Linked DNA regions of Pelodiscus sinensis. The protein of the gene in region 1 purifies or fractionates together with the protein of each later gene. This does not show direct contact. Links are inferred from orthologs where the notes say so. Each region holds a gene or a part of one and is shown in the gene's direction. Other genes may lie near its edges.

What was found. Proteins that work in one complex are often made in the same cells at the same time.
Region 2: the proteins of NOLC1 (region 1) and ARRB2 purify together in Homo sapiens (affinity purification with mass spectrometry; 5 studies listed by BioGRID and IntAct, counting the BioPlex papers as one, with this or other methods). This does not show direct contact. The link is inferred for Pelodiscus sinensis from reciprocal best matches to the Homo sapiens genes NOLC1 and ARRB2.
Region 3: the proteins of NOLC1 (region 1) and beta-arrestin-1 purify together in Homo sapiens (affinity purification with mass spectrometry; 4 studies listed by BioGRID and IntAct, counting the BioPlex papers as one, with this or other methods). This does not show direct contact. The link is inferred for Pelodiscus sinensis from reciprocal best matches to the Homo sapiens genes NOLC1 and ARRB1.

The regions. Positions count from the first base shown.
Region 1 is NC_134718.1:2,407,396-2,417,326, forward strand, and holds the start of NOLC1 (nucleolar and coiled-body phosphoprotein 1), read left to right. Parts: upstream 1-5,841; 5' UTR 5,842-5,892; coding exon 5,893-6,003; intron 6,004-7,270; coding exon 7,271-7,326; intron 7,327-9,931. UniProt on the Homo sapiens protein: Nucleolar protein that acts as a regulator of RNA polymerase I by connecting RNA polymerase I with enzymes responsible for ribosomal processing and modification.
Region 2 is NC_134734.1:8,205,707-8,215,470, forward strand, and holds the start of ARRB2 (beta-arrestin-2), read left to right. Parts: upstream 1-5,754; 5' UTR 5,755-6,259; coding exon 6,260-6,340; intron 6,341-6,496; coding exon 6,497-6,557; intron 6,558-7,026; coding exon 7,027-7,071; intron 7,072-7,324; coding exon 7,325-7,521; intron 7,522-8,912; coding exon 8,913-8,972; intron 8,973-9,346; coding exon 9,347-9,414; intron 9,415-9,599; coding exon 9,600-9,735; intron 9,736-9,764. UniProt on the Homo sapiens protein: Functions in regulating agonist-mediated G-protein coupled receptor (GPCR) signaling by mediating both receptor desensitization and resensitization processes.
Region 3 is NC_134711.1:324,011,221-324,021,493, reverse strand, and holds the start of beta-arrestin-1, read left to right. Parts: upstream 1-6,263; 5' UTR 6,264-6,904; coding exon of another isoform or gene 6,905-6,924; intron 6,925-10,273. UniProt on the Homo sapiens protein: Functions in regulating agonist-mediated G-protein coupled receptor (GPCR) signaling by mediating both receptor desensitization and resensitization processes.

The DNA.
Region 1 (9,931 bases):
GGGTCCGAGGCTGGAGGTCAAAGCAGTGAGGCAGGAGAGAAATCTAGAAGGAAAACTTTATTATGCATGCAAGCAGGCTGACAGCTACCAGGGTGAGAGCAGCAGCAGCCCTGAGAGTTTCAGGGATCCTTTATACAGTATGTTCAGTTGTTGATTGTTTTCTTTAACATATCAAAGTCTCAGCGAGGTTTCTGTTCACACCAGAAGTGCTAGAAGTAAGTTTTACAGTACAACAGTGATAGAATGAGAACTTGAGTGAGGAGTCTACAAGGCAACCTGTAACAAAGATAAGAGTTTACATGACAATTTGTGACAGACTAGGAGTAGCCATGAACTTGAGATAGGAGGCATTGTAAGGGTCTTGATTAGAGTTAATTTGATTTCTCTCTGTTACAGGGAGAGAGGCCTGGAAAACTTTTAACCCTTACAGCAGTTTTCTTTTAGAGAGTTTTGATTTCCTGCACAGTCCCCCCTTAGACACAATTGGAGTTATTTGATTTTTCTCCCACAACTCCTAGGTTATGTCTACACAGTGGAGCTATTTTGGGATACCGGAAGTATCCTGAAATATCTATTCTGTTATTTCAAAATGAAATGGGATCGCTATTCTGACATCCCTGTAAGCCTCATTCCATGAAGATCACGGGATGTTTTGGAATACTGGTTTAATTGAGTAGCTTATTTTGAGCTAAGGGTGCAGTGTAGACACACACCTAGTGGTCAGTCATATTGCTCTGGTTTAAGGAAACAGAGCAAGTAGTGTCAAATAAAGAACTGTGACTTGACATTAGTAAGCATCTCACATTTTCCCACATGGGAAGGATGAAGCCTTCACTTTGAGACACAAGCTTCCCCGGACATAGCAAAACAGGCATGGATTAAGGCTGCGTTCGGAAGAGTTTCTTTGCTGAGCACCATCAAGATTTTGTCCGTGTTGCCCTTCTGTGGAACAGGAATAGAGGCCTCGCGGGTCAGCTTTCCGCCGGAGGAGATTTGATTGATGTGGCGTACAAGTATAGTCCATCTGTGTTTATTCTCACACCCTAGTCCTCGCACGGAGGTTGTCAAACAATACGCAGGCAAAGCTGTGAGGTCTGAGGCCCTTTTCTGCAGCCATTCTAGGGGAGCAGCAGGCATGAGCCCAAAGGAGCAGAAAACCACATCCTCGCACTCCTTCTAAATTATATTAAAACAAGGTAACATCCGGCTGCTCCCCTCAACAGCACATGTAGATAAGCAAGGAATCTCTTTAGATGTAGAAAGAACAATTTGTTTGATGGCATTCAGTCTGGCAAGGCATCACTTACCAACAATGGTGGGGGCAAAAACTCTAGTATTTTGCTTTTATGGTCTCTACTTCTCTATTGGTGAGTGTCTGGTCCTTTTAGGGTGTCTGACCATTGCATAATTAATTTTGCAAGATTTAAATCAGTGAAGGTGGGTGAGGTGGGACTGGTTTCATAATGGGCTAGGATGGGTGCAAAATACCTTATATACAGCCTTCTGCTGCTCCAGTAGATTGTAGGAGGCCTTTGTGACCCTTCCCAGCCACCGTCACCCCCACCGGGTGCAGAAAAGCAGAGCCCTGCTCTCGATTTCGACACAATGGGACCAGCTTCCATAGTAGCTGGGGCAGGAATCACCCTAGGGACCTGCTATTCCGGCAGAGGTGGGTGCACCCTGCTTTCAGAGAGGAGGCACCTTACACTACATGTTCCTACTCTTCCCTCTGGGAGCAGGGTGGCTCGGAGGCCACCACGGAGCATTACTGCTCCTTTCCCGCCAGGGTGCGTCAGAGCAGGATTTCTGAGTTCAAGAGCAAATTCAGCCGGCCAATGCCATCGTCCGAACCTCTTGCATTCACCAGCAGTTCCCTTTCGCACTCCCTTCGCCCCATTCTGAAGTGACTCCCTGCCTCCAGCTAGCCCAGAGGCGCACGTCACCGGTTCCATCAGCAGAGCCCGATTCACCAGGTTCCACTGACAGGCATCTTCAGAGAGGAACCCCCGCACGAAAGGGTGTCTAGCGGTTTGGTTTTATGGAAAGGGATGAGATCTGGAGACGGACGCTGGCTCTGTCCAAGGTCCTGAGTCAAGAACTGACCAGTCCCGTCCTCCTCAGTCCCAGGCACGCAGTAACAGCCCCCATCTCCCTACCCCAAGCAGCCTTCTCCGTTGCAGATTGTCAGGGGAGTCCTGTTCGAGCACTTCCTGCCTTGCTAGCGAGCCAATCAGAGCCTTTGTACTCAGCTAGAGTGTCGGATCCAGTTCTGGGCCCCACATTTCAAGAAAGATGTGAAGAAATTGGAGAAGGGCCAGAGACGAGCAACAAAAATGATGAAAGGCCTAGAAAACATGAGCTATGAGGCAAGGCTGAAGGAATTGGGCTTGTTTTGTTAGGAAAAGAGAAGACTGAGAGGGGACATGAGAGCCATTTTCAGGGATCTAAAAGGGTGTCACAAGGAGAAGGGGGGGGAATTGTTCTCCTTGGCCTCTGAGGACAGAACAAGCAACAATGGGCTTAAACTGCAGCAAGGGAGGTTTAGGTTGGACATTAGGGAAAACTTCCTGCCTGTCCGGGGGATTAAACACGGGAATAAATCACTGATGGGGGTTGTGGAATCTCCAACATTGCAGATATTTCAGAGCAGGTTGGATAGACACCTGTCAGGGATGGTCTAGGCAGTGCTGGGCCCTGCTGTGGGGGCAGAGGACTGGACTTGATGACTTCACTAGATCCCTTTCAGTTCTAGTGTTCTAGGATTCATACCCAACAGCGTTCCTCTCCACAGGGGAAACTGCGAGGAATCTGTGACATCACAAAAGAGTGTCTGATGGAGGAGAGAGGGAAGAATCGGTGTTAGTTACGGATCAAAGTATTGGCCTGTCTCATAACATCCCTAAAATCTGACATCTAGATTTGAGCCTTCACCAAAACTGCAGGCTTTGGTTCACACTCAAGCCACTAAGAAGCTGGTCCCACTCTGTCACAGGGACTTTGTATACCTACCTGGGTGCTCTGAGCTCTGCCAATGTCTGTCACCTCCAGCAGCAGCAGCACAGAAGCAAGAGTAGCAATACCACAACCTCTCTCCTCCCCCCACACACAATGGCCTTGCGACTGCCCCCAAACACCTTTGTGGGTCAGGACCCCAACAGTGACAACCTGCAATGTCAGACTGAAGTAGCCGGACTCATGAACTGTACCATTTTTAAAAAGCCCAGGGTTATGAAATTGACCAACATGGACCATGACTTTGGTAGGGCCCTGGCTTATGAAGGACGTGACCAAGCGTCACTCTGCAGTGTACAGGCCCTGTCTGAGTGCTGATTTTAACAGGTGCATGTTAGACACCCGCGCATGACTTACCACAGCAGCAGAGCAAGCTGGAGCTAATGTCAAGCAGCTGTCATAAGAGGGCAGGAGGCAAAACATACGGATCTTTGCTGGGACTAAGGAATACCCCTAGAAAGCTTACAGATGTCACCCCATGCGGCTCTGAGTCTTTCCCAGCTCCTGCTCAGCCTGGCTAGTTCTAAGACCAGGGAAAGTGGATTTTACCCCCGCTCTCAATTTTCAGAACAGACCCAAACCACAACTGGGCTGCTGAGGTCAAAGTGGCTGCAGGTGCCACATCTCCTGGGGACAAGAGAAAAGCAGGGAACCCCCTGGACCTGGTGTGGCACCACCAGAAAGTCCTTCCCTTAGCAACCTTAGCAGGCCCACTCCAGCTCAGTGCAGAGAAACAGATGCAAGGAGACTGGGACAATGGGACTAGTTCAGAGGGTTGGCATAAAATGCTCCATCGCTTGGCTTGGTTCCGAGATCTGTGTCTCCCAAGGCGGAGCTGGGAGCAGGACAGGCCCTGCTTTGAGAGCCTGGCTCCCCCTGCAGCTGACAGAACCAGAGCAAGAAGCAAAGCCAGGCCGCGGCTGAGCAGAGCCCGTGAGGCACGAGAGAAGAAAACACTCGCCGAGCCGGGGACAAGAGTGAGAGAAGGGCAGTGACTAGGCGTTTGTGGGGTGAGTGTTGTGTGTATCACACCCGCCTTGCGCTTCATTCACGGTTAGTCACTGCTGGGAAGCTGCTCTCCAGGGGAAGTACAGAGCAGCAGCGAGGGCCCCGTCTGCCCTGCCTGGCCGGGCTTCGGCACTACACAGCCATAGCATGAGCGGGGCTGCACTCAGAGGCGAGGGACTTTGGCTGCTTGAGAGGACAGCAGCGTGGTGGCCTCTCCGTGGCCAGGCCCAAGGGCTGGTCTTCCTCCTCCTTGCAGTTCCGGCTGGGGCGCTTTGCCCACGCACGCCAGCGGGAGCCATCTCGCTGAGGCTGGCCCCTAGATGGGAGGTGGCAGCCATTTGGGCAAAGGGCAACACTTCCCCAGGAGGCAGAAATAAAATGCTCCCGTCTCGAGCCCGGACAGCCCCCAGTACCGCAACCCGGCCACGTTCCCTTCGTCCTGAGTGACGAGCACCTGGGGCTGCCCCATCAGCAGCCTGCCTGGATGGGGCTGGTTCAGGGAGCAGCTGCCCAGCCCTTCCTGAGGAGCCGGCCTCTTTGAGGTCTCAAGAGGGGCGCCCAAAATCTGCCATCACTGCTCGAAATCTTGGCCTGGACCTCTCTGACTCAGTTCTCCCCTTGGTAAGAGCGGGTGCAATGCCTCCTTCCCCGGGAGAGTCCCAGGCTTGGTTACAGTTTACATAAGAGCCCCACTTTGTCGGCGCATAAACTCATAAGAACAGGAGAACGGCCGGACTGGGTCAGACCAAAGGTCCATCCAACCCAGTAGCCTGTCTGCCGACAGTGGCCAGCACCAGGTACCCCAGAGAGGGTGGACCGAAGACAATGATCAAGCGATTTGTCTCCTGCCATCCCTCTCCAGCCTCTGACAAACAGAGGCCAGGGACACCATTTTATCCCCTGGCTAATAGCCTTTTATGGACCTAACCTCCATGAAATTATCTAGCTTCTCTTTAAACTCTATTATCAGGGCTGGCTCGAGCCCTTTTGGCGCCCTGGGCCCGGGCGTGCAGTGCTGCCCCCAGGCACAGGGCGCATGCGCAGGCCCACCCATGGGGCACGGGCCTGCCCATGGGGCACATGGCATACACGCGCGCTAGCCATGGCCACTGGCGCAAAGCCTGAGGCCCGCTGCCGGGGCACGCGGAGCATGCGCTACCCAGCCCAGCCCGGCCAGCGCTGCTGGCACACATGCCGGGCCGTGCAGGGCCCCACAGCCGTCGGGGGAAGGGCACTGCTGGCCGGCACTGAGGGGCAGGTGCTGCAGGAGCCGGGCGCACGTCTCCTGATGGCATCTGTCAGGGACACCATGCGCCCCTTACAGCTGCCATTAGGTGCCCCTCGTCGGTTGGGGCTCTGGGCAGCTGCCCAGCTCGCCCATGCCTCCACCCAGCCCTGTCTGTTCTAGTTCTAGCCTTCCCAGCCTCCTCCGGCGAGGAGTTCCACAGGTTGACTATGTGCTGTGTGAAGAACTTTCTTTTATTAGTTTTAAACCTGCTCCCCATTAACTTCATTTGGTGTCCTCTAGTTCTTCTAGCCGCACTCGGCTCCCCCAGCTCAGTGCTGCCCAGGCCCGGATCAGCCCCCAGGGCAGGGCCCACTGGCCCCAGCTGCTGGCCTCCCACGTGCTCAGGTGGCACCTGCCCCGGAGGCTGGCGAAGGACCTGGCCCCGCCCCTCCCTACCCGCTGCACTGCAGCCGCCGGCCGCCAGGTGGCGCGCGAGCGCTCTACGGCTGTGCGGGCGGCGGGCCCTCCCTTTAACAACATGGCGGCTAGGCCCGCCCCCTTCCGGGGCCACGTGTGACGTGTGACCCCGTGACCTCACGACGCAGCGCGTCCCCCGGCACGTGCGGGGCGGCCGGCGTGGAAGCATGGCGGAGGCGCGCGCGGTGCCCAGCGACCTCTTCCCGCTCGTCCTCGCCTTCCTGCGCGACAACCACTTCGAGGGCGCGGCGCGCGCCTTCGGCCGGGCGGCCGGCGTGGTGAGGGGCGGGGCCGGGGGGGGGGTCCTGGGGGCGGGGCTGGGGGGGTGTCCTGGGGGAAGGGGGGGCTGGGCCGGGGGGGGGTCCTGGGAGAGGGGAGGGGCTGGGAAGGGGGGGCTGTGCCGGGGGGGTTCTGGGGGAAGGGGGGGGCTGTGCCGGGGGGGGGTCCTGGGGGAAGGGGGGGGCTGTGCCGGGGGGGGGTCCTGGGGGAAGGGGGGGGCTGTGCCGGGGGGGGGGTCATGGGGGAAGGGGGGGGGTCATGGGGGAAGGGGGGGCTGTGCCGGGGAGGGTCCTGGGGGAAGGGGGGGCTGTGCCGGGGGGGGGTCCTGGGGGAAGGGGGGGGCTGTGCCGGGGGGGGTCCTGGGAGAGGGGGAGCTGTGCCGGGGGGTTCTGGGGGAAGGGGGGGGCTGTGCCGGGGGGGGTCCTGGGGGAAGGGGGGGGGTCCTGGGGGAAGGGGGGGGCTGTGCCGGGGGGGGTCATGGGGAAGGGGGGGCTGGGCCGGGGGGGTCCTGGGGGAAGGGGGGGGGCTGTCCCCGGGGGGGGGGGCTCCTGGGAGAACAGTGTTTGCCTACCTCTCCGGGCAGCTGCATGTCACCTTAGCACCGGGGAGAGACAGTCTCTGCATAAGGCGTGAGACCTCATTGAAAATGGTGGCAGATGATCGCAAAATTGGGAGGGCCTCCCTCCCCTCTCTTCCCTCCCCCCAACTTTCTCCAGATCTGCCCACTTTTTCTGTCTTTTCGTAATTAGATACTGATAGTGATAATTCTTCTAGAATACTTACTGTCTAATCAAGATGTTAAGTAAATCTTTCCCCCCTCCCATTAGGCTCCATTATTGCAAGGCATTGGCATATACCTAACTGGACACACTGAGTTGTCCCCTTAACATGAATGAAACTACTCAGTGTGCATAGTTAAGAATAAGGCAATGTCTCCTAGCACACGTGTGGCTGAAGTGTCTGCAGAATCTTGGTTGTAGATGTTAACAAATCTATGGGTCCTGGAATTTTGAGTCCTAAATAACTCAGGTTGTTTCTTTTTTCAGATTACTCAGAGGCTTTTAACTCTAGCTTCTGATGCTATTGAAGGTTTTTATGAGCAACACACTCCATTTGCTAAGTCTCCCACCTCTCCACCTGGTATACATCAGGAAGGTGTGAATTCAGAAGTGGTTGCCAATGGGTCAGGGTTTTCCATTCCATCCAAAGTCGAGAAGTCCATGTGGTTTGTCAGTGCTAATAGTCCTGTGTGTTTCTGGTTTACAGACAGACCAGGACCCTAATGCTGCTTCTCTCTTGGATGTCTTCAACTACTGGCTCAAGTAAGTGTCTCTCCTCCTACAATATTTGTTGAGAAGGACTAAGCCAGTCCATCTCTGGGACATTTCTATGGTCGCTTTGTTTTTCAGATTGGTGTATTAAATGGCAAAGGTTTTCCAGCAAAACTAAACTTCCATCATACAGTATTATGGGGAATAATTTGGCTACAACTACGCGAGAGAGCTCTTGGAGTCATTGTGGATAGTTCTCTGAAAATATCCACTCAGTGTGCAGCGACAGTCAAAAAAGCAAACAATGTTAGGAATCATTAAAAAAGGATAGAGAATAAGACCAAGAATATCTTATTGCCTTTATTTAAAACCAGGGTACGCCCACATCTTGATTACTGCGTACAGATGTGATCACCTCATCTCAAAAAAGATATATTGGCATTGGAAAAGGTTCAGAAAAGGGTAACAAAAGGGGTCCCCTATGAAGAGAGATTAAAAAGATTTGGACTTTCCATCTTAGAAAAGAGGAGATCAAGGGGGGATATGATAGAGGTTTATAAAATCATGACTGGTGTAGAAAAAGTGAATAAGGAAAAGTTATTTACTTATTCCCACAGTATAAGAACTAATGGTCACCAAATGAAATTAATAGGTAGTAGGTTTAAAACAAAAGTTTTTCTTCACCCAGCACACAGTCAACTCCTTGCCAGCGGATGTGGTAAAGGCTAGAACTTTAACAGGGTTCAGAAAAGAGCTAGATAGATTCATGGAGGTTAGGTCCATCCAGTGCTTTTTTTTGGTTAAAAAGGGGGGGGGTGCTGGTACTCCAGGGGAGAAGTTGTTGAGTTCTGACTGGAGGAGCTGGTACTGTGTTCCAGGCAGTACCTGTCCATAATAAGGAAGGACTGTTTTTTAGAAAATATTTGCAAAGCACTTCTAATCGGCCTTCTCGTCACAAAGTTCCAGGCTGCCATTTCAGGAGCAGCAGCCTACGGCCCTTTAACCCCTTTTAACCTTATTTTAAGTGAAAGGCTAATATGTGAGTTTTTTGATATTCCATACTTATGGTATGACTTCGCTGGACAGTTTTCCCCAGCTGGACAAGCAACTCTGGGCTTAAAGAACCTCCAAACCCGGGTTTTTCTGTGTAGGTAGAAGTGCTCACACCCAGGTGAGAATCCATGCTAACTGGGCAATGAAGACACATCCTTAATTTTCGTAAAAGAATGTGCATTCAAGTTGGCTTCTTGGCAACAAAGCAGCTGTTGAAAGGGTAGCTGGTCTTCTCAGGATAAGAGGCTAGAGAGTAGGGAAAAGGAGCTAGTTAGTCCAGGAAACCTTAAAGGGATTAGAGAAACAGTAAAAATAAGCTATTCTAAACAGAGGGGAAAACCTTATCCGGGGTTACTGTGTAGTAGATATGCACTTTACACAATCCTCGCAAAACTAGTTGTTTTTGAGAGATTGTAAAATGACCCACGCTCCCAGCTAATCTAATTGTGGCCGTTAAGAAGCTACAGGTAGTTAGACCCTTGTCTTCAGCTTTAGCTAGGACTTACCTGAGACATGTGCCTGCAACCTGCTGGTCTGCATTCAGCTAGGAGACACTGCTTTAAAAGTGCTGCGTAAGCCCAGTTGGCTGTTCTAGAGTCCAAGTCTGGTCATTAAAAACTGATCCCCAAAATGCTCATGCTGTAATCCTGCCTTTCTGTCTGCCCCGAGCCAGTTATTCCTCAGTGCAGGTAGGGTGGGCTTATTGGGGACGGAACAACTGATGAAAGAGCTGGCAAGAGACATGGGGGGGTGGGGAGCATGGGCAGTTTGAATCAGAAATGTGCTGCTGTGAGCTGGAAGGGTCTGCAGAGTCAGGATCCTGAGGGAGCTGCCTTAGTTGCTGTGTTTGGGAAGGAATGCAGAGGGGGTGGCTGTGCTTAAGGCCACTGTCAGGGCTTCCGAGAGCTGTGTGTCACGAGCTCAGGGGCCCCTCGTGAACCCCAAGTATCTCTGGGATGTGAGCAGTTTATTTTAAACAAGAATGAGATGAGGCAGCACTTGAATTTCCTACCCCTCAGTGCAGGAAGAGAAATACCCTGATAAACTCCTGCAGCCATAAGCATTCTGCTTTTCTCATTTTCTCTCAGGTTCTGTTGCTTTTCTCTACCCATCTCTCTATTTGCATTTTTCATGTGTCTTTAAAACCCCAGACCCATATTTCCAGATCCATGATCTCTTGACCTAAGAGATCCCTTATTTGGTTCACCCCAAAGTCGAGAAAATAGGCATGCGGAGACTTGAACCTTGCAGTTGTGGCATTGCATACCTCTCCATTGTAAGAATCGTTTATCTAGCTAATGCCTTTAAGAGGGCTACTGAAAAACAAAGCTGGAACTGAATTGCATGCAGAAAACATAAATTAAAACTTAAAATTAAGGTAACTGTCAAGAAAACAGGGATATTAATAAAAAATGCAGAATTTAGTGATTGCATTTATACTGTCAAAAATGCAAAGTATAACCTCTGGCTTCAATTAATCATCAACAGCACTGAGTTGCATTTTTAATGAGACTTGATGCCATAATAGAATTGAAAATAACAATCTGTATTTATTTAAGTCATTAAAATCTTTAAACGTACGACATATGAAATCTTTGTCTGA
Region 2 (9,764 bases), on another chromosome or scaffold:
TGAGAGACACCATGGCTCTGTCTACACTGCTTCTTTTGCCAGAAATATGCAAATAAGGCTAAGCATGGAATATCCCTGAGCCTCATTTGCATACCTAATGAGCCACCATTTTTACAGAAGAGGCTCTTGTGCTAGAAGGAGCTGGCTACACTGCCCCTTCTTGCACAACAAAAACCCTCTTGCGCAATGTCATTCTTCCTGAAAAGTAATCAGCGTAATGGCATTGCGCAAGAGGGTTTTTGTTGCGGGAGAAGGGGTAGTGTAGACAGCTCCTTCTGGCACAAGAGCCTCTTTTGCAAAAATGGTGGCTCATTAGGTATGCAGATGAGGCTCGGCGATATTCCATGCTTAGCCTCATTTGCATATTTCTGGGGCAAGAAGCCATGAGTGTAGACATAGCCCATTTGTGCCAATTCCCAGTGGCATCTAGACATCATTGTTCCCAATTGTGAGAAGGGATGGAAACCACCATATGTGACCATCCTGGTTGTCCCACATAGAGATTACGCAGAGCCTCTGCCTCAGTAGAGGAGTAGGCCCTGGATCTCACCCAGTGCATGCCTCACTGAGGTGGGTCACCAGAATACCACCAGGCACATGTGTCTCCATCAGAGGATCCTATAAACCACTGTGCTTACCTGTGGGGTGGGACTTGAAACAGCTATGCACACCTGGGAGATGGCTGTAGTGATGCAAGGGTAGCAGAGTTTGGGGTCCAGTCTTTCCTGATTGGGGGATGAGGGGCTTGGTAACCATTTACTGACCTGGAGTGGGGAGAGAAGTTTGGGTCCTGGAGCTGTCTAGGAAGGAACAGTGAGTGTCCCCTAGATGTAGGGCAGCCACGGACCTGAGCTGGGAGTAGCTGGGGGGGGGGGGGGAAGCTGAGCCACCCTACTCGGGGATGGTGAGCTGTACCAGCTAGGGACCTCAAACAGGTCTCAATCAAAGGCGTAATCCCAGAGAGACATTTCATAGAATCATAGGACTGGAAGGGACCTCGAGAGGCCATCAAGTCCAGCCCCCTGCCCTCAAGGCAGGACCAAGCTCCGTCTACACCATCCCTGACAGATGTCTATCTAACCTGTTTTTAAATATCTCCAGAGAGGGAGATTCCACCACCTCCCTTGGCAATTTATTCCAATATTTGACCACCCTGACAGTTAGGAATTTTTTCCTAATGTCCGATCTAAACCTCCCTGGCTGCACTTTAAGCCCATTACTCCTTGTCCTGTCCTCAGAAACCAAGAGGAACAAATTTTCTCCTTTCTCCTTGTGACACCCTTTTAGATATTTGAAAACCGCTATCATGTCTCCCATCCCCTGCCTGTGCCTGCCCTGTGCCCCAGAGATGGGGAGACACCTGTGAAATATGGGGATAGAGCTAAGTAACCCCTGAATAAAAGTCCATCTCTGCAGTCTTCTCTCACTTCTGCTTTCACAGTTGGTTGAGTAACTTCCGCCAGCACAAACCACAGCTGTCCCATTTCCAGGCATGGGGCAGGGCTCATGTAGAGCATGGGGGAGGGGGACGGGCCGGGCGTAGCAGGGTGCATGCAGGGCATAGGGGTGCTGCATGGGGCAGGACAAGGGGGAGCAGCCTTGAGCAGGGCCCAGGGGGATGGCAGGGACTGTGCAGGGTACTGGGGTCACTGCATGGCCCAGGGTGCCGCAAGATGCATTCAGGGCACGTGCAGGGGGGCTAGCTCCTCTTTGTGCTGTTGAACGCTACGTGCCGAGCCGCGGGCAAGGGGCTGTCTGGGCGGGGGGGTCATTCCCCTCGCTCGCCACAAGGTTGCAGCAACATCCCCCGCCCCTGACGGCTCCTCCCCGGCGCACCCTCGGATTGGCTGCGCCGCCACCCCACGTGACGCGGGCCTGGCGCTGGCCATGGCTTCACTCGAGTCCGCTCCCTCCCGCTATCACCCGGAGCCGGGACGTGAACCCCGAGTCTAGCGCGGCGCCTGCACCCGGAGCCGGCATGGGGGAGAAGGCGGGCACCAGGTGGGGGCTGGTCCGGCGCGCTACAGGGCGCGGGGTGGGGAGGGGGAGCTTGCATCCCAGCAGGAGAGGGAACCCAGGCGTCCTGGCTCCCCCCCAACCACCAGCCCCCACTCCCCTCCCACAGCCAAGGAGTCCTGACTCCCAGCCCCCCCCAACCACCAGCCCCCACTCCCCTCCCACAGCCAAGGAGTCCTGACTCCCAGCCCCCCCCCAACCACCAGCCCCCACTCCCCTCCCACAGCCAAGGAGTCCTGACTCCCAGCCCCCCCCGCTCTGACTCACCAGCCCCCACTCCTCCCCAGCGCTGGGGAGGGAACCCAAGAGTCCTGGTACCCAGCTCCCCTCCCCCCACTGACTCATCAGCCCCCTCTTGCCTCCCAGAGCTGGGGAGAGAACCCAGGAGTCCTGGCTTCCCTTGCATATGAGTGGGAAAGGCCTGATCCTGGTGCAAGGATGTAGGTCATGGCTGGGGGAGGGGCAGCTAATCCAGGAGTAAGGCAGCAGCACTGCCAGGCACTGGGGGTGGAACCAGATTACGGAGATATCGGACCCTGGTGCCAGCCCTGCCTCGGACGCCTGGGTTCCTCAGGACACCTTGGGAAGCTGTCATTTAACACCCAGATGCCTCGGTCCTTTGAGGCCTTTGGGAAGGGCTCCCTCCAGACAGGTGCAGGGACCTGGCCCATGATATGATATTCTCCCCCTGCCCTGTCTCTGCGTTGGGTGCTAGGGATAGGCTGGAACCTGGCAGCAGCTGTCAGGCATGTTTGGTCAGAGCGCTCTGGAGTTTATTGCCCCAGAGATAAGGGCAGGAGGCTAGAGAAGAGGGGGCCAAGGGCTGCCTGGCTCCACCACTCCTGCCAGTGCCCCTCACTCCCAATCCGCAGCCCCTTGGCTCTGAGGCTGTTTGGGATAGTGGGTCTCTCCTGGCGTGGGGGTGGGTCAGAAAGAGGAACTGGAAGCTGCGTAGCTCAGCAGGCAGACTGCAGAAGCTGCTCTGAGGAGCAGAGCAGATGTGGGGGGAGGGCTGGGATTGGGGGAGCAAAGGGATCCCAGCCCTAAGTTTTTCTTTACAAACACTTTCAGTCCCAGCCCTAGGGAGTCCCACACTCTGCATTCCGTCCCTGGTGCAGAGATGCAGCCACCTCTTGGGGGAGCGGAGAAGTTGTACAGAAACCTATGTTGAGGAGGGAGGGGGGCCCAACGCTGTCCCATCCCCTTGGGGCAGTGCTGTCCCTTCCTGAGGCCATAGAGAGGGCTCAGGATTAGGGCCAACTGGCTGAGTGCTGAACCGCAGGGGTGCACGGTGACCTCCCCCAACTGTCACCCAAGTGCCTCCCTAGGACTTCCTCACAACATCCTGTCTAGGAAACAAAACAGGAAACGCCACGTCCTGTTGGAGACACGTGTCCTAACCTTGTGCCAGCCCTGCCCCATGCCAGTGCCCCTCACTCCCAAACAGCAGCCCCTGCCAGCCCAGTCCTGGGCTCCCCTCAGCTCTGCCAGTGCCCCCCATTCCTGACTCTCAGACCCTGGCAGCCCAGCTCTGGACTCCCCCAGCTCTGCCAGTGCCCCTCACTCCCAACCTATAGCCCCTGCTACCCCAGCGCTGGGCTACTATGAGTGCTCCTCACACCCAACACAAAGCTCCCTACTGCTGTTTCTGTTCCCATGTGCTGGGTTCCCTGTTTACATCCTGGCACCCCATATGTCTGTACCTTCCAGGTGGGGCTGCTTCTTGACTCCTCCTCCTCAACCTGGTTGTTCTGAGGAAGGGGGCCAACAGCCAGTGGGGTCAAAGGTCAGCCTGGATCTTCCCCAGTGCATGAGACATGGGACTAGCAATTTCCATAGCAACCTGAATATGTAGGGGGAATCCAGCACTGAATCCTCCCCCCAAACTGTATGAAATGTTTGGGGAGATGCTCTTAGAGGGAGGCTCTTAGAGGGAACTGGGCAAGCCTGGTGGGGCAGAAGTTGGTTCTCTCCCCTTTCTGGAAAATTGGGGAGGGCTTTATGGAGAGCTGTGGGGGACCCTTCCCCCCAGATCCTGCCCCCCTCATTCTGAATCAGCTGGGTTGTTCCCCCTTCACTCCTGGGTGGTCCCTGAATTCACTCCTCCCCACCCCCCTGCTGCTCCTGTCACTATGGTTACACTGGGACAACCAGCCTGGATCCTGTTTCTGTGGCAACCAGCTAGACCTGAGGCAGACAGGTGGATTCCCCCCCCCTTTCCCCCAGCTGAGCTACTGCTTGGAAGGCAGAGGTCAAAGGTCAGCCTGGTGGACCCCTGAGATGGGGGGAGCTGAAGTTGGGGAGGCCCATGTCAGTCAGTTCTGACCTATGCCCCTTCCCCCACCCCTTTTCCTCCCCAGGGTCTTCAAGAAATCAAGTCCCAACTGCAAGGTGAGTGACAGCCCGGTGCCCCTCACTCCCAACTCGCAGCTCCTGTGCCCCACCTGACCCCAAGCCAACCTAGCCCCATCCAGTGCCTCTCACTCTCGACCTGCAGCTCCCAGCCACCCCGGCCCTGCCCGGTGACCCTCACTCCTGACCCCCAGTAGGGATGTTAAGTATCGGGTAATTGACTAGTCAATAGGACACCTCTGCCTTTGAAGTGTAACAACAGCTTGAGGGCTGTTGCTACACTTCAAAGGTGAAAGCACCAAAGCGCTAGGGTCAACTGGGGACTCCCCCACTGACTCCAGGCTCCATGCAGCATTGCTGCTTTGAAACGGCATTTCAAAGCAACAGCGCTGCACAGAGCCCAGGGTCAGCTGGGGAGTCCCCAGCTGATCCTGGGCTCCCCACAGCATTCAAAGCAGCAGTGCCACACGGAGCAGCTGACCCCACGCTCCATGCAGCGCTGCCGCTTTGAAGTACCCCCCCTTGTCGCCCCCCTTGCTGCCTCTTTCTGATAGAGCCAGCAAGAGGGAGGAGCAACTAGTCAACTATTCTGTCGACTATCCGATAAGCATTTGCTTATTGGATAATTGAATAGTCTTTCACATCCCTTACCCACAGCCCTTGGCCCCACAGCCCGGTGCCCCTCACTCCTGACTCACAGCCCCCCATTTCCCATCTGACGTGTAGACTCTGGCCGTGCCCGGTGTCCCTCACTGCCGACCCGCAGCCCCTGGCCAGCCTTTCCCTGCCTGGTGCCCCTCACTGCCGACCCACAGCCAGCCCAGCCCCACCCAGTGCTCCTCAATCCCAACCTACAGCCCCTGGCCTGCCCAGCCCCGCCCAGTGCCCCTCACTCCTGATCCGCAGTTCCCGGCCAGCCCAGCCTCATCTGGTGCCGCTCACTCCTGACCCGCAGCCCCGCCCCTCCCAGTCCTCCTCAATCCCAACCTGCAGCCCCTGGCCAGCCTGGCCTTGGGTTCTGGGTAAGAATGTTAACTGGAACAGCCATCCGCCCGTTGTGGGTGTGGGGCTGCTTCCGCTGTGGGCGGGGAGGGCAGGGTGCTCCAGCCTGGCCTGAGCAGCTCTTGTTTTTGTTTGCTGTGGGTCCAGCCCAGCCAAAGAAGGGGTTGCTCCAGCCTGGCCACGGGCAGGGGCTACCCTGCCCAAGTGCATTTAATAGGTTAACCAGTTAAACTTAATGTTTAACCAGTTAACTCATTAAATGGGATTTTACATCCCTAGTTCTGGGTGTTATGGTCTCTTCCCCCCCCCCCCCCCCCCCAACCTCAATGGTTTCCTCTTGCGGCTCTTCCCCCGCCTGGCTTCCTCCCTTGCGCACTGACACGGGGATCCTGCCATGTCTCTCCCCTCCCCCCATGGGCCTTTGCACACACTACTGAGTGCCCGTCCACGCAGAACTTGGCCTGAGGCTTGTGCATAGAGAGGTGGGGGGGCTAAGGTTGGGATGGGAGTGGGGCCCTGTATTGTCGAGGGGCAGAAGGTGCAGTGTAAGGGGGGCTCTGAGCTAGGGAAGAGTCATCCCAGGTTCTTGAGGGAGAAAGGGGGAGAGGCCCTGAGCTCCAGGCAGTGAAGAGTTAACCACCACCCACTTCTTCTCCCTCCTTCCCCCCCACACAGTTTGTTTACATTGGGTTTCCACACACCTGCCCCCCCCCCTTTCCTGATTGGCTGCCCCCCTCCCTAGGGCCCCCTCAAATTCCTAGGGGGCGGCAGAGCTGCAGATAAACAGACTCTGGAAGGAGCAGCGGGTGTGGGGGGGTGGTAGGTACAGTGAAGGTGCGTGGGGGGGCAGCAGGCGTGGCTGGGGCAGGGAGGGCATCTCAGGGTGGGGATGGAGCCCCTGGAGCTGGACAGGATTCGATGTGAGATGTCTGGGAGCCTCCGGGTCTTCAGAAAACAGCTGGGAACCCAGGTAAGGGGGTGCTAATTGGGGACTGACAGCTTGCATCAGAGCAGTCCTGATCTGGTAGAGTTCCCCCCCACCCACTGGGTGCTGCAATGGGCTATTTCCCCACGTGGGTGTGAGGATCTGTCTGTCCCCCTTCCCCATGTCTGTCTGTTCCCACAGCTCACTGTCTATCTTGGCAAGCGTGACTTTGTGGATCACCTGGACCGGGTGGACCCTGTGGGTGAGTTAGGGGGTTAGGGAGTGGGGAGGGTAGGGGCCTTAAAGGATTGGTGGAGGCTGGGAATTGGGGATATTGGGGGGCTGGCAGTTAGGGGGTCAGACATGGAGGAAGGTCAGTGGGGGTCTGGAGTTCAGAGGGCCGGTTGGCTCTAGGAGTGCTGGAGGTTGAGGGGCAGAGATGGCTGAGGGGCAGTGGGGTGCTAGGGCTGGAGGTGTTTGGGGTGCTGGGAGACCAGGGACTGGTTGGCTATTGGAGTGGGGTGGTGGTTACGGGGATGAGGGTTCAGGGTTAGGAGACATGGAGTAGGGAGTTAGAGGGCTGGTCAGAGACTGGGGGTCAGAATGCTGAGGTGGCTGGGGGAAGTCTGGGGGTCCAGGGACTGATTGGCTCTGGGGTGGTTGGGGTGCACAGAGCTAGTGGGGATCAGGGGATCCTGCCCAGTCTCACCCCTGCCCTGATTCCCATGCAGATGGAGTGGTGCTGGTGGACCCCGAGTACCTGAAGGATCGGAAAGGTGAGAGGGGCTGGGGGGGGAGGCTCCTGCTCTGAAGAGGGGTGAGATTCCAGGCTCCACCACTGCCCCTTTGACCCAGACTGGCTAGGGGCGAGGCTGAGTGATCAGGCTCCACCCCTGGCATGTCTGTTCTTGGGTAGGGGGAGGCATCTTGGGGAAAAGGAGGGTGGGAAACAGCTTGGGGAATTCTGAGTAGAGCTGTCTGAGGCCTTCACCCTGTCTTGCTGCCCTCTTCCCCACCCCTCTTCTGCAGTGTTTGTGACTCTGACCTGCGCTTTCCGCTATGGGCGTGAGGACCTGGATGTGCTGGGCCTATCGTTCCGCAAAGACCTTTTCGTCGCCACGTGCCAGGCTGTGCCCACCCTGCCTCAGGAGCAGTGCTCCCCCACCCGCCTGCAGGAGCGGCTGCTGCGCAAGCTGGGAGCCCATGCCCACCCCTTCTCCTTCACGGTGAGCGCCCCGGGGACTCTCCAGGGACCCTCAACCTTCCAGTGCCCTCTTTCACCTTCATGCTGAGCCCCCAGGAACCCCAGCACCCCCTAACCCTAGGGATGTTAGTGGCTAGTTGCCTAATCGTTTAACCAATATGCGATTGTTTATCAGTTAACAGTCCCAGTTAACTGCAACACACCCCTACGTGCTCTGCATTTAAAACTCGGACCAGCAGGTTTGCTCAGTCGCAGCCCATAGGTCCAAGTTTTAAATGAAGAGAACATGGGAGCCCCCTACCACGCCACGCTACTGCCTTTGAAACAGCTCAGAGCCTGCGGGGCAGCAGGTGGGAGTCGATACGTGCCAGCAGCTGGTTTAAAAACCAGCTCCAACCTTCCACCTGCACTAATGCCTCTGAATCAGCCTGAGCTCCTGTCCTACTCCTGGAGTCCTAGACAGGAGCTGCTGTCACCAACACGGAGTGGCAGGGGGCTCCCCAGGAGTAGGACAGGAGTTCACTGGCTGCCAGGCCCAACCTCAGGAGGGAGCATTTTAGTAACCGTGTACAGGGCGCCCCCACTCTAAGTCCCCCTGTTATACATCTGTTCCACACTGAAGTCGTTGCCACTTGTAGGAACTGATGCATTATAAATCCTCCCATTCCCTGCTCTTCGGTCATGCCAAAAACAAAACAAAAAACCCAATTTGAGCACATGGAAGTCATCCGTGGGGAACAATGCCCTGGTTTCAGTTTCACTATAAGTCCAGGTTTTTTTAAACATATCTTGGATTTATCGCAAGGCCGGCCTGTAACCACTAAGCACTGCTGACACTACACAATTACTAAAATAAACCATTTCTGACATCCCTGCCTACTCCCCCCATACCCTCTTTCACCTTCACAGTAAGTCCTCAGAGCGTCCCCTCATGTGGCAAAATGGGGATTTTATGCCCTTTATGTTGCTTGTTAGTTCTGGTGTCATGCCATGTGTTGCCTTCGTTTCCCTGGGCACTGTACCAATGCCTAGACGGGGCTGGGCATTTCAGTGTGACAGCCTCCCCCACATCCACAGTGGCTGATACTTTCTGGAAGTTGAGCCTGGGAGGGGTGCGTGTCTAAGTAACATCTTTACACCAGGAAGCACCACAAAGGCTGGAGGAGGGGCCTGGCTGGGACTACCCTGACTCTGGTCCCCCCTCTCCCCAGATGGATTGTACTGGCTGCTGCTGGTTTCTATGTTGACAAGTCTGTTCTACACTGTATCCCTGTCACCTACTAAACTTTCTGTTTTACCTGCCGGCTGGGAGTCACATCTGACGGCACATGGGGATGCAGGGCCCTGTGACACACCCAACCCCTAGTGCCCTATGAGGGGTCAGAGCCCTGCTTAACCTTCCCTGTGTCTCAGATCCCGCAGAATCTGCCCTGCTCAGTCACGCTGCAGCCTGGCCCAGAGGACACAGGCAAGGTATGGACTGTGGGACTGAGAGTCGGGCGTGAGGGGCACCAGCAACACTGGGGGAGCTTAGGGCGGGGCTGGCAGGGGCAGTGGGTCAGGAGTGAGGGGCACCAGCAACACTGGGGGAGCTTAGGGCGGGGCTGGCAGGGGCAGTGGGTCGGGAGTGAGGGGCACCAGCAACACTGGGGGAGCTTAGGGCGGGGCTGGCAGGGGCAGTGGGTTGGGAGTGAGGGGCACCAGCAGGGCTGGGAGAGCCCAGGGCTGGGCTGGAGAGGCTGTGGGTCGGGAGTGAGGGGCACTGGGAGAGCCCAGGGCTGGGCTGGCGAGGCTACGGGTCAAAAGTGAGGGGCACCAGGCTAACAGGATTTTTCTCCCCCTCTCAGGCCTGTGGGGTTGATTATGAGATCCGAGCTTTTTGTGCCAAATCCCTAGAAGAAAAGATTCATAAAAGGTACTAAAGTCCCCCATGTAGGGTAGAGGCTACAAATGTGCAGGAAGATCCCCTATCCTACCAGAACCTGGGAGAGAACCCAGGAGTCCTGGCTCCCGGTCCATCTGTCCCCATTATAACTCACCAGCCCCCACCAGGCAGAAGACCCAGGTATTTGGGCAGGCTGTGACTTCCCTTCCCCACAGGAACTCAGTGCGCCTGGTGATTCGAAAGGTTCAGTACGCTCCAGAGAAGCCGGGCCCCCAGCCCATGGCAGAGACCACCCGACACTTCCTGATGTCTGACCGGTCCCTCCACCTCGAGGCTTCACTGGACAAGGAGGTGGGGGCTGGCCAGGGCATGGATCTGGG
Region 3 (10,273 bases), on another chromosome or scaffold:
CTCCATCCCTTTCTTAATGATTCCCAACATTCTGTTTGCTTTTTTGACTGTCACTACACACTGAGAGGATGTTTTCAGAGAACTAGCCACAAGGACCCCGAGATCTCTCTCTTGAGGTGTAACAGCTAATCGAGAGTCTGTTGTTTCATGTGTATAGCTGGGATTATGTTATCCAATGTGCTTTACTTTGCATTTATCATCATTGTATTTCATCTGTCATTTTGTTGCCCAGTTTTGTGAGATTCCTTTGAAGGTCTTCACAGTCTGCTTTGGACTTAGCTATCTTGAGCAGGAGCTTCAGGGGGTAGCCGAGTTAGCCTATTACAGAAAAAAACAACAAATGGTCTGGTAGCACTTTATAGACTAACAAAACATGTAGATGGTATCATGAGCTTTTGTAGGCATAGCCCACTTCTTCAGATAATTCTGGTCATCTGAAGAAGTGGGCTGTGCCCATGAAAGCTCATGATCCCATCTACATGTTTTGTTAGGTCTGGTAGCACTCTATAGACAATCTTGAGCAGTAATCTGGCATAATAGGATGATCCTGGGGTCTATTGCACTGTGATGTACTTAAAATGCCAAATGAAAGGACCAGTGACTGGTCTTCATCCCAGAACTATCCCAGTCACTTGCATTGTCAGCTGGCTACTGGCCCCCTTGTCCAGTGCAGCCCAAGGAGGCGGAAGGAGTGGATTCCAATGGTGGAGAGATTGGGGCAGAGTTCTGCTGTGGCTTTGGGGGGAGGAAAGAAGGTTGGATGTAGCCCCAGGTCGGATGACTCTATAGAAGGAGGGAGCTGGTGTTTGACATGGTGACAATGTGTTGGCTCCTCTCTGGCCACTTGTGTTTCTCACACTGGGATTTCACGCCCAGAGCAGCTGGTCCTGCTGTGAAGTGTATGGCTGGCCTGGGGGGAAGGGACTGCTGGCTGTTCTAGGAGATCAAACGCTTCAGAGGGGTAGCTGAGTTAGTCGGTGTGGGGCCCAGAAAAACAAGGCCTGGTCAACATTATGCTAAGGAAAGTTAACAAAGGCTAATTTCATAGGCCTCTGAGTATTCTTGACCAGAACCAGGAAAGCTGTTCAGACAGAGGCGCGCCCTCCATGCTGGCTTAGGTTATAAAAGTAAGAAGTGATAAATTACATATTTGTACCTACTGCGGCTTGCTTTGGGAACTGGTCAGAAGCTCCCTGTTTTTGTTCCCCTTCACTAATCTTACCTCCCTATTTTTTGCCCTTGGTTTGTACCCGACTCTTTTGTCTCCTTGTTCCTGGTACCTGCCTTTTGTGATTGATAAGAAAGTTGCTGATGCATTCTGAAGCGCTTCTGGCCACAATGTATGGTTGGCTAAGATATGCATAGATATTAAAAGTTTCTAGAAAGGGGGGTAAGTGGCTTGGGTGAAGAGCTTATGACGCAACGGAACTATCTTTATAAGCCTACCTGTCACTAGAATCGGGGCTGCTTCTCTTTGGAGACGGGCCGCTCTCTATTGTTGTGTGCACTCTTCAATAAAGAGCTTGTGATTGGACTTTGCTGGTGTTGCCTGTCTCTTTGCGGTCAGACAACGAACCGAGTCATCTGGGCTAGAGTCCCTGACATCGGTAACTGGAAAAACTTAAAAAACGATCATCTAGCAGCACCTTAAAAAGACTAACAAAACATGTAGACGGTATCATGAGCTTTTGTGGGTACAACCCACTTCTTCAGATGACTGGAGTATTAAAAGCCCAGATCCAAGAATAAATAAGGGAAGGCGGAGGGACAGGAAGGCGGAGGGAAAAAGGGGAAAAAAAGAGAAAATAAAGTAGTGAATTAGATCAAGTTACAAGAGGCTAATTGCTCTTATCAGCCTCGTGTAACTTGAACAATCTAATTCACTACTTTTTTTTATTTATTTTTCTTTCTCCTCCTCCTTTTCCTCCACCCTCCCTCTCACCGCCCCCCCCCCCCCCCCCCCCCCCCCCCCCCCCCCCCCCCCCACACACACACCTTCCCTTTTTTATTCTTGGATCTGGACTTTTAATACTCCAGCCATCTGAAGAAGTGGGTTGAACCCACGAAAGCTCAGATGCCAGCTACATGTTTTGTTAGTCTTTTTAAGGTGCTGCTAGACTATTCGTTGTTTTAGGAGAGTAAGTTTCCTTTTTTTCTGCAGCACAGTAGTAAAGGGAGGAAAAGGGCCCAAATAAAGGAGCATTTGAAAACTTGGAGTTGGGGGGGAGAGCTGCCGCCAAGGCATTTACATTTTGGCTTTGGCCTACGTAAGACATGAAGACCCCGTGTAAAGACACAATGGCCATTTCAAACCTAAGCTCTACATGCTCTAGAAGAGCTTGGCTCTAGAACCAAGCTCTGGGGCCTGAGCCACAAGCTCGCATGTGCAAACGCTCCATGATGCAGGTTGCTAAGGCTACGGGGTGATGGAGCAGGCCTGGGCCTTGGCAGCTGCAGAGCTTGCTCCACCAGCTGGAGGACTTGCTGAGGAGGGGATGGGTCAGGCTGAGGCAGCAAGGAGAGGCTGTCAGCGGATAGGAAGCCAGTCAATAGCTTCTGGGAGAGAGGAATCCCATGGAGGCCCTGGATTGTGGGTGTGTCCAGACCATGGGCCCACGGGTGTGATTCCTTTTCTGGGGCGACATGTAGGGGGGCATGAGGGTCATGTGCCCCAAAGCTATGGGTGCGAGAGACAAGGAGCTGGTCAGCACTTGAGGCAGAGCAGCAGGGGGCCTGTTCCTGGAGCAGGGCTCTGCCCTCACCCCCGGACTCAATGGCAGTAGGGGGAAGTGGAGCAAAGTGGACCTAGCTCGCTCTGCTCCTCCAGTTGTCCATCAGAGAGGGACGAGACGGCCCCCGCGCTCGCTCTTGGGAAGAGGCAACGTGGCCGGAGGAGCACAGCGAGCCGGGGCCATATTGCTCCACTTCCCCCAGTGCGGGGGGGGGGGGAGAACCCTGCTGCTGGCGTTGCCCCCAGCCAAGCTATTCCCCCAGAGCCGCCTCGACTGAAGGAAGAGGTGGGGCGGAGGCAGAGCAAAGGCCAGGAAGAGGCAGGGAGAGGGTGGAGCAAGAGTCAGAAGGGGGTGAAGCTTGGGTGAGGAGAGGCAGGGCTTGGAACAATGGGGGGTTGTCCCAGTCCTTCCCCAGGCTGCGGGGGGAGGTGTCACATGAACAGTGGACCCTGGATTCCCCTTCACTGCTCGCCCCGTCTTTTTCCCCTCCCATTCCCCCTGACAAAGGGGAATCGTTGGGCGCTGGGGTGGGGGCGGGGAAGCTGTTTTTCTGAGTGGCTGAGACAGCTTCAGCAGCCCTCCATGAGTGTCTGACCATGCCCCAAAATGAGGGGAGACAAGGAGAGGTAGGAAGTGACCAAGGGGAGGCTGGTCTGTGAGACCCTCCTTCCACCTTGGGTGCTGGGCTGGGACCTATTGGAGAGGGAGGGCCAAGGTCTCCCTCCGGCCTTTGTCTGACCGGGGGAACCTGGAGAAGGACAGACTGTAACTTGGCCACCAGCCCCTCGGATTGCCTGATAAGCCCACCCCAGGATTTGGGGGACTGCTGAGCCCTGGCCGGCCCACTAGGCCTGCTGGTCCCTAAGTGAACCCTGCCCTATCCTTATCTGGAGCGAGATGGCTTCCAGGGCTTCGTGATTGGTTTAATGTTGTTGGGCATCTGCTGCCTTGTGAACCCACACACGGTGGCATTGGGGTCAGTGGAGGGACCCTGTTGAGTGGAGAAGTTGAGGCCCTGTTTGCATTCTGGAAGTGACCTCAGGCAGGTCGTTCGGGGCCTGGGCGCTTTTGAGGTCTAGTGCTATTCTAGGCAGTCCAGTGGGGTGAGAACGTGTGACTGTGCAGACAAGCTCAGCAAACTGTTAGCAGGTTTCGCATCAAAGGGTTTTAGTTGTTGCTGGGCTCTGGGTCTAAGGACAAAGACCTGAATTTGTCCCTCCTACACACAGTGTCAGAGCTCCTTCTGCATGGCGTGGGATTTGACCATCTATTTGTGCATGAGAGCCAGGAGCAGGGCTCCATCTCCCATCATGCATCAGGGCCAGGGACTCCCATGATGCAGTGCCAAGAAGAGAGACTGAGGTGCACCATGGGAAATGTAGTCTGACCTAGGAAACTGAACTATGGGGGTTTCCCAGCCTAAAATGCCTTGGTACTAAAGTTGGGGCAGAAAATACAAATCTTCTGTGGGAAGAGAACCCCAATCTCCTGGAGCCGAGGAGAGTAAAGCTCAGGAGATCTGAATAGCTTCATCATCTGCCTCAGAAATGGAAATTGCCTCCTGCTGTCTCCTGCCTAGGGGAAGGATCAAGTGCCCCTTCCACCCCCAAACCCTCTGATTTTAGCTAACCACTTAGTTACACAAATAGGCCTTTATTCACCGGAGAGCAGCCCTTCATGCTGTACTAGCAGTTTTCATACCACACGCACACGCACAGTGGCGTGCCTCTGCTCTCTTCTTCTTGAAGTGAGCGCTAGAACGCCAGTGACATCACCAGAGAGAATCCAGAGGGGACAAACGGCACAAGCAATGAGATTTTCAAGTACACAGAATTACGCAATGGAGACAATCTCTAAGGCATCGTCCCCTGCTTCCTTCACCCTAGCTGGTGCTTCACGGTGGAGAAGTTTGTGTGAGGTGCATGTCCTGAAATAAATGGCAGCCTGTCTCCTCCATTCTTCTTCTTCGTTTCTCTAGCCCTTTCACTCTGCACATCATAGAGGGCGACCAGGAGTTGTGGATCCCATCCTCTGCCACAGCCTCCTTGTGTGACCTTTGTCAAGTCACTGGCTCTCTGCACCTGGGGTCGCCAGCTACACAATGAGGACATTTCCTTCCTGCTGCCCTTTTGGGTTGTCAGTTCTCAGTGGAAAGGGACAATGTATTTGTGTGAGCCCAGAGGTATCTTGTTCTGAGCGACTATAATCCCAGGTGATGGATACAGGGAGCTCATTTTTGCATCTCTTGAGGCAGCCATCTGATTTGAAGACAACCTGGATGCGGTAAGTGGGGACACGGAGCATCTTCTCCCTCTCTCTGTCTCTCTCTGGCCAGTTCTTGTTGCTGTGCTCAGGGTCTCATTTGTAGCCCTGGGTGGGGTCTGGAAGGAACATGGCCACAGATCTTTGGGGTGTTTTTTTTTCTCATTCCTCTGCAGCTTGTGGGAGCAGGTCACCCGCTACATCACCTGGGTAAATCTCAGTGAGTCATTTCCCCACCACTGCAGGGTGCTTGGGCTTTGGTGTCTTGTGTTCTCTGCCTGCGGCATGGCCCAGTCTCCTGTGGGCTGCAGTCCCTTTGTCTGATGTGGGTGGCTACTGGGCGGCGATACACAGAAGGTCGGACTGGGTGGCTTAGTGGTTCCCCCTCCTCTTTTCCACTGACTCGCAAAGGCATACTGAGCTTGTTCTGGTCAGAAGTGGGCCATCGTGCATCACTGCAGTTTGGAGCTTATCTAACGGACTCATGTGGCTGCATCCACACTCACCAGTCCGTGCTCCCCCCTCGGCCTCCCCAGACCACGAAACAGCTGGGCGTAGTCAGTGAACAAACTGACACCATGGCCGGCTGCTCTCACTGGAAGGGGACGTGACAGGAGTACATTCCAGTGTGGCTCCAGGGAATCTCTGTGCTGCAGCCGAACTAGACCTCAGTGCTGGTTACTGTTAGAATCATAGAATCATAGGACTTGGAAGAGACCTCAGATGGTCATCAAGTCCAGCTTCCTGCCCAAAGCAGGACCAATCCCAACTCAATCAACCCAGCCAGAGATTTGTCAAGCCGGGACTTAAAAACCTCTCGGGATGGAGATTCCACCCCCTCGGGATTCCATCCCAGTGCTTCCCCACCCTCCTAGGGAAATAGTTTCCCCCAATATCCAACCTAGATCTCCCCCACTGAACTTCGCTAAGCACTGAGAGGCCGTGTTCTGCGCTGTCCATGATCCACTCCAGAGGTGGCTGCATTTCAGCTGCAGGGGAGCAATTCCAGTCCCTCTTGTCTGTGAAGCCCTTGCATGCATTGTGCTGGAGGGGTTAATAAGAGGCGGATGGGGGGGCAGTGCAGGGGTGAGACCGGCTGTACGTTGTCCTGCAAGCCAAGCCAATGGCCTGGGATGGTTTCTGCCCAAATCCAGCTGTTTGGCACCAGGAAGAGAAGGGTCACAGAGCGTTTCCAGGAAACGCAAACTCCCCTGCCTGGAGAGCTGCGGCATGGCCAGCTCCCCTGCGTGCACACACTCCGCGGTTCACAGGCCACGGGCAGAGCCAGCCCCCTGCTCTCACGCAGCTCTGGGCAGCCGGAGGGAGATGATGCTGATGCTGATTTCCTGAGCCTGTTACCACACGGGCTGCAGCAGCTGTGCGCGGCTCAGTCCTGAGCTGTGCACGCCTGGAGTAGGAGGCGGTGTTGCTCGGAGCCCGGCGAGGGTGGATCTCTCTCCACGGAGGCAGGAGGGGAAGCTGTCAATGGGAGAGATGGAGCAGCCGTGTCTGCGAGCTACAACCCTCTAAGGGATCCTCTGCGTGTGTGTGTGTGTGTCTCCCTGTGCCTGGGATTTGCGCCTGTGCCCTTCATCTCATGGCTGCGTTGACATCCGTGCACCACCGCTGGGTTTATTCCAGGCTGTGATCTCTACGCACAAAAGCACTTCAGGGCCGGACGGCCACACGCCCAGCAGTCTTGTTGTTATTAAGACACGGAGCCAGGCGACAGCCCGGTGGAGCTCTCTGCATCGTCTGCAGCCGGGGTCTGCGCGCTGGTGCGGTGAGAGCGCGAGTAAGCAATTCCTGCCAGGAGACGACCGCTTCCTCTGGCTCCACATTAACAGCTAGTAATTTTCCACGCCTCTCTGATCCTTCCCTGGCAAGTGGCTGGAAGGGTGGCCTGGGCCATGGGAGACAAAGGAACCAGGTGGGTGAATGTATTTTTTTTTACATGCGGGTTATTCAGCTGCAGACGGTGATGCTTGCGCGTGTGTTATTCGCCTGTTTCCTGGACTGTAGCTGCCCCGGCAGATCCGCCTGCTGGATCCCGGCGTTTTCCCATGTACCGGGAGATGTTTGGGTTTGGAGGGTGAGGGGACTTGTTTTGTGAGCAGAGCAGCAAGGCGGCGTGTGGCGCTGAACGGCCCAGCAGAGCGAACGCAGACTCCAAGCCGTCCGCTCTCGACCGAATGCCCATGAATAGCCCATTTCCAGGGCTCCTCTAGCATCTGCCGCTCACCAGCGTGTGTCGCTTTGTTCGGCCGGAGCGCCGCAGCTCCAGCCTTTGGCAGATGCTACAAGGCGGGCTTGAAAACCCGGACTTTCCCCAGGCGGCGGAAGGGGGGTTTCTCCCTGGCCTGATCCCCCCCAAGAAGCGTTGGCTGGAGAGGCGGCCTTTTTGCAGGGCGCCCGGGTTGCTCGCGGGGGTTGTGGACGCGCTGGGTCGGTGGCGGGGTGGTCCCGTGGCTGGGGGGCGAGCGGCATTTTCGCTTTGCCTGGACCCGCTCCAGGGCAGCGTGGGCTGCTGAGGGCTCCTGCTGTGCCTCGGTTTCCTTTCGGAGCCAAGCCCCCGCCGGCGGGTAGCCCAGGGGAGCAGGGCGGGCTTCCCGTTGGGTCAGGGGTCGCGCAGCTGCTGGCTAGGGGCTGTGGAAATCGGTTCCGTGAATCACCCGCTTGGCTTGGCCGGGACCCGAAGCAAAGAGGATCCAGGGCTGGTGCCGGGCCACGTTTAGATCCCACGAAATGGCCCAGTTACCGCGGGCAGATGCGCACGGCGGGGTCCCTGCAATTGTCTGGGGCGAAGGCTGGGCGACTGCAGGGCGTGGAGAGGGGCTTTGCCGTCTCCTCTGGGGGGGCTCAGGGCTGCACCGTAGCAGGGTCCCTTCAGGGCAGGGGGGTTAGTGGGAGTGTTAGCTCGCCCCACTCCCAGTTCATGTGAGACGCAGCCTGGCCCGCTGGGCAGAGCAGGGGCGAGCGATGACTCTCCTACAGTAGCATGTGCAGCATTCGCTGGCCTGGCAGTCTCTGTCCGGCGCTGCCCCCCAGGAGGCGAGTACTACTCCTTCGCAAGTGGGGAAACTGAGGCACGGCCGTGCAGTGACTTGCTGCCCGGCGAGTCAGCGCTTTGGTTAGCACGCAGGAGGCCTGGCGCTCAGTCCTGAGCTGAGGGCTTGGCTGGCCAAGCCTCACTCTCGGAGGGGCAGCTCAGATCTCCTCCAGCCCTAGGTTCTGAGTTTTGGGGAGGAGGGGGGAGGTTCCTATTGCAGGGGAGGGATGTGAGCTTTGGGCCCTGCAGTGGGTGTGTGGAGAGTCTCGCAGGGACAGTTATCAGCCCCGGGAAACTCGGACTGCTCTGCTGCTCCCCACTCCATCCCCGAGGCTCCTGGGTGCGGGTGTCAACATCCCCTCCCAGAGCTGGCCCCCCTCCTCCTCCTCAAGCAAGGATGGTCTGATGGCTAGGACGATGGTGTAGGAGTTAGGAGCTGTTAGTTCAATTCATGGCTTTACGGCAGACTCCCTATGTGACTTTGGGTACTGCCCACTCTGTGCCTCAGTTTCCCCACATGCAAAATGTAGATAAGAATCCTCCCTCCCCCCACCCTTGTCTATATACATGGTGAGCTCTATAATAAGGACTGCCTCTTACTATGTGTGTATACAATGGGGTCCTCACCCCTGAGTGCATAGGTTTTAGGAGCTAGGGCAACCAGAAAATGTGGGTACTCTTTCCCTCAGTGGATCATTCTAAATACATACAGTTTGATTCACCCATAGCTAAAAGGCCTTTTATTTATATCTGAAATGCAGCCACTTCTGGGTTGGGATGTGGCAGCTGATTAACAGCTCACAACAACACTGCCCAGCAGTGTGGGAAAAGAAGAAAACTATCAAATCTTGTGAAAGAGGGCCCTTGGATCAGGCGGACACCCCCTCAAGCCAGGTTGGGAGCATGGGTTGAGCACAGACTCAGGAGGGAGAGAGGAGCAGCACTGTGCTCTGATAATGGAGAAGTGAACTGTAAAACATGCATGGCTCTCTCCTCTGGTGACTGTCCCAAAGACAGGAGAAGGGTCTGAATAGCTTAAAAATCTGGCCCTGCTACCATCATCAGCTACGCAAACTAGACGCACTTTGTGGCACACTGCATAGGCATGCTTGTTGGGGTTTTTAATGGATTTATTCTTTGGATTTTTGTTGCTAACTCTCCCTCAAATTTATTTTCACAATTTCTAACCCCGGGCCCGCCTGTCTTGGGAGTGCAGCTCAGCAGCATTTCCTTGTTAAGAAGTACCACACATTGCACCATTATTTATTGGTATTGTGGTAGCATGTAGGAGGCTCAGGCATGGGCCAAAGCCCGATTGTGCTCGGTGCTTTTATAAATGGTAGAAGGCTCTGAGAGTCGTTCCACTGGGATTACTCCACTGACGAGATGGAGGAGTTAGTTGATGCTACCGAGAAACTGTCAGACTGGATCCCAAAGTTCTGCCTGGGGGAGATTTTCAAGGCACAAATGGAAGTGCCTTTGAAATGTCTCTCCTCTGTGTGTAACATAAAAAGGAGTGGGATGAAGACAGGAGACTCTCCTTTCGCTGTTAGCAGTATAGAGCCTAAGATACACACTGGACCCGTTCTGAGTCCATCCAGCAGAGGGTGTTAGTACGTGCATGGATGCACGTGCATGTGCACACTCAGACACGCACACACACACATACGCACGCACACACTCTGCATAGTGGTGTCTGTTTTCAGGAATTGGAAGAACTCGTTTGCAATGACAAGTATGTGAGCTCTGACAAATTCTTGCAGGTTCCCGTGAGTCAGGAACCCTGCGTGCCATCAGATAGTTTTGTTGCTCTTAACATCTTTGAGGCAGACCTGCAATGCTGCCTCTTGTCACTTTAGGCTGCCTGTGTGCGTATGGACACAAATACCCCTCCCCCTACACACACACGCACATTTCAATGGCATCACCTCCTCCCCTCTCTTGCTGCTTACCCACTACACCAATCTGCACCAACTCCCCCTCCTCTAGCTCCTACCCTCCATCCTCTGCTGCTGGTTCACCTCCTGACAGCCCCAATTGCCAAAGGCATTTGGGAGGGGAGGGGTTCCTGGTTGTGCAGTCACTGAGCTAAGGGTCTGAGCAGGATTTCTCCTCTGACAGGTTTCCCTTTCGCAGGGACTCCCCGTCTGCAGCACTGTGTGCAATTAATAATTTAGACCCCCTGGGTACTTAAGGGACCATCTCTTGCCATGCGTTCCTCAGGCAATGG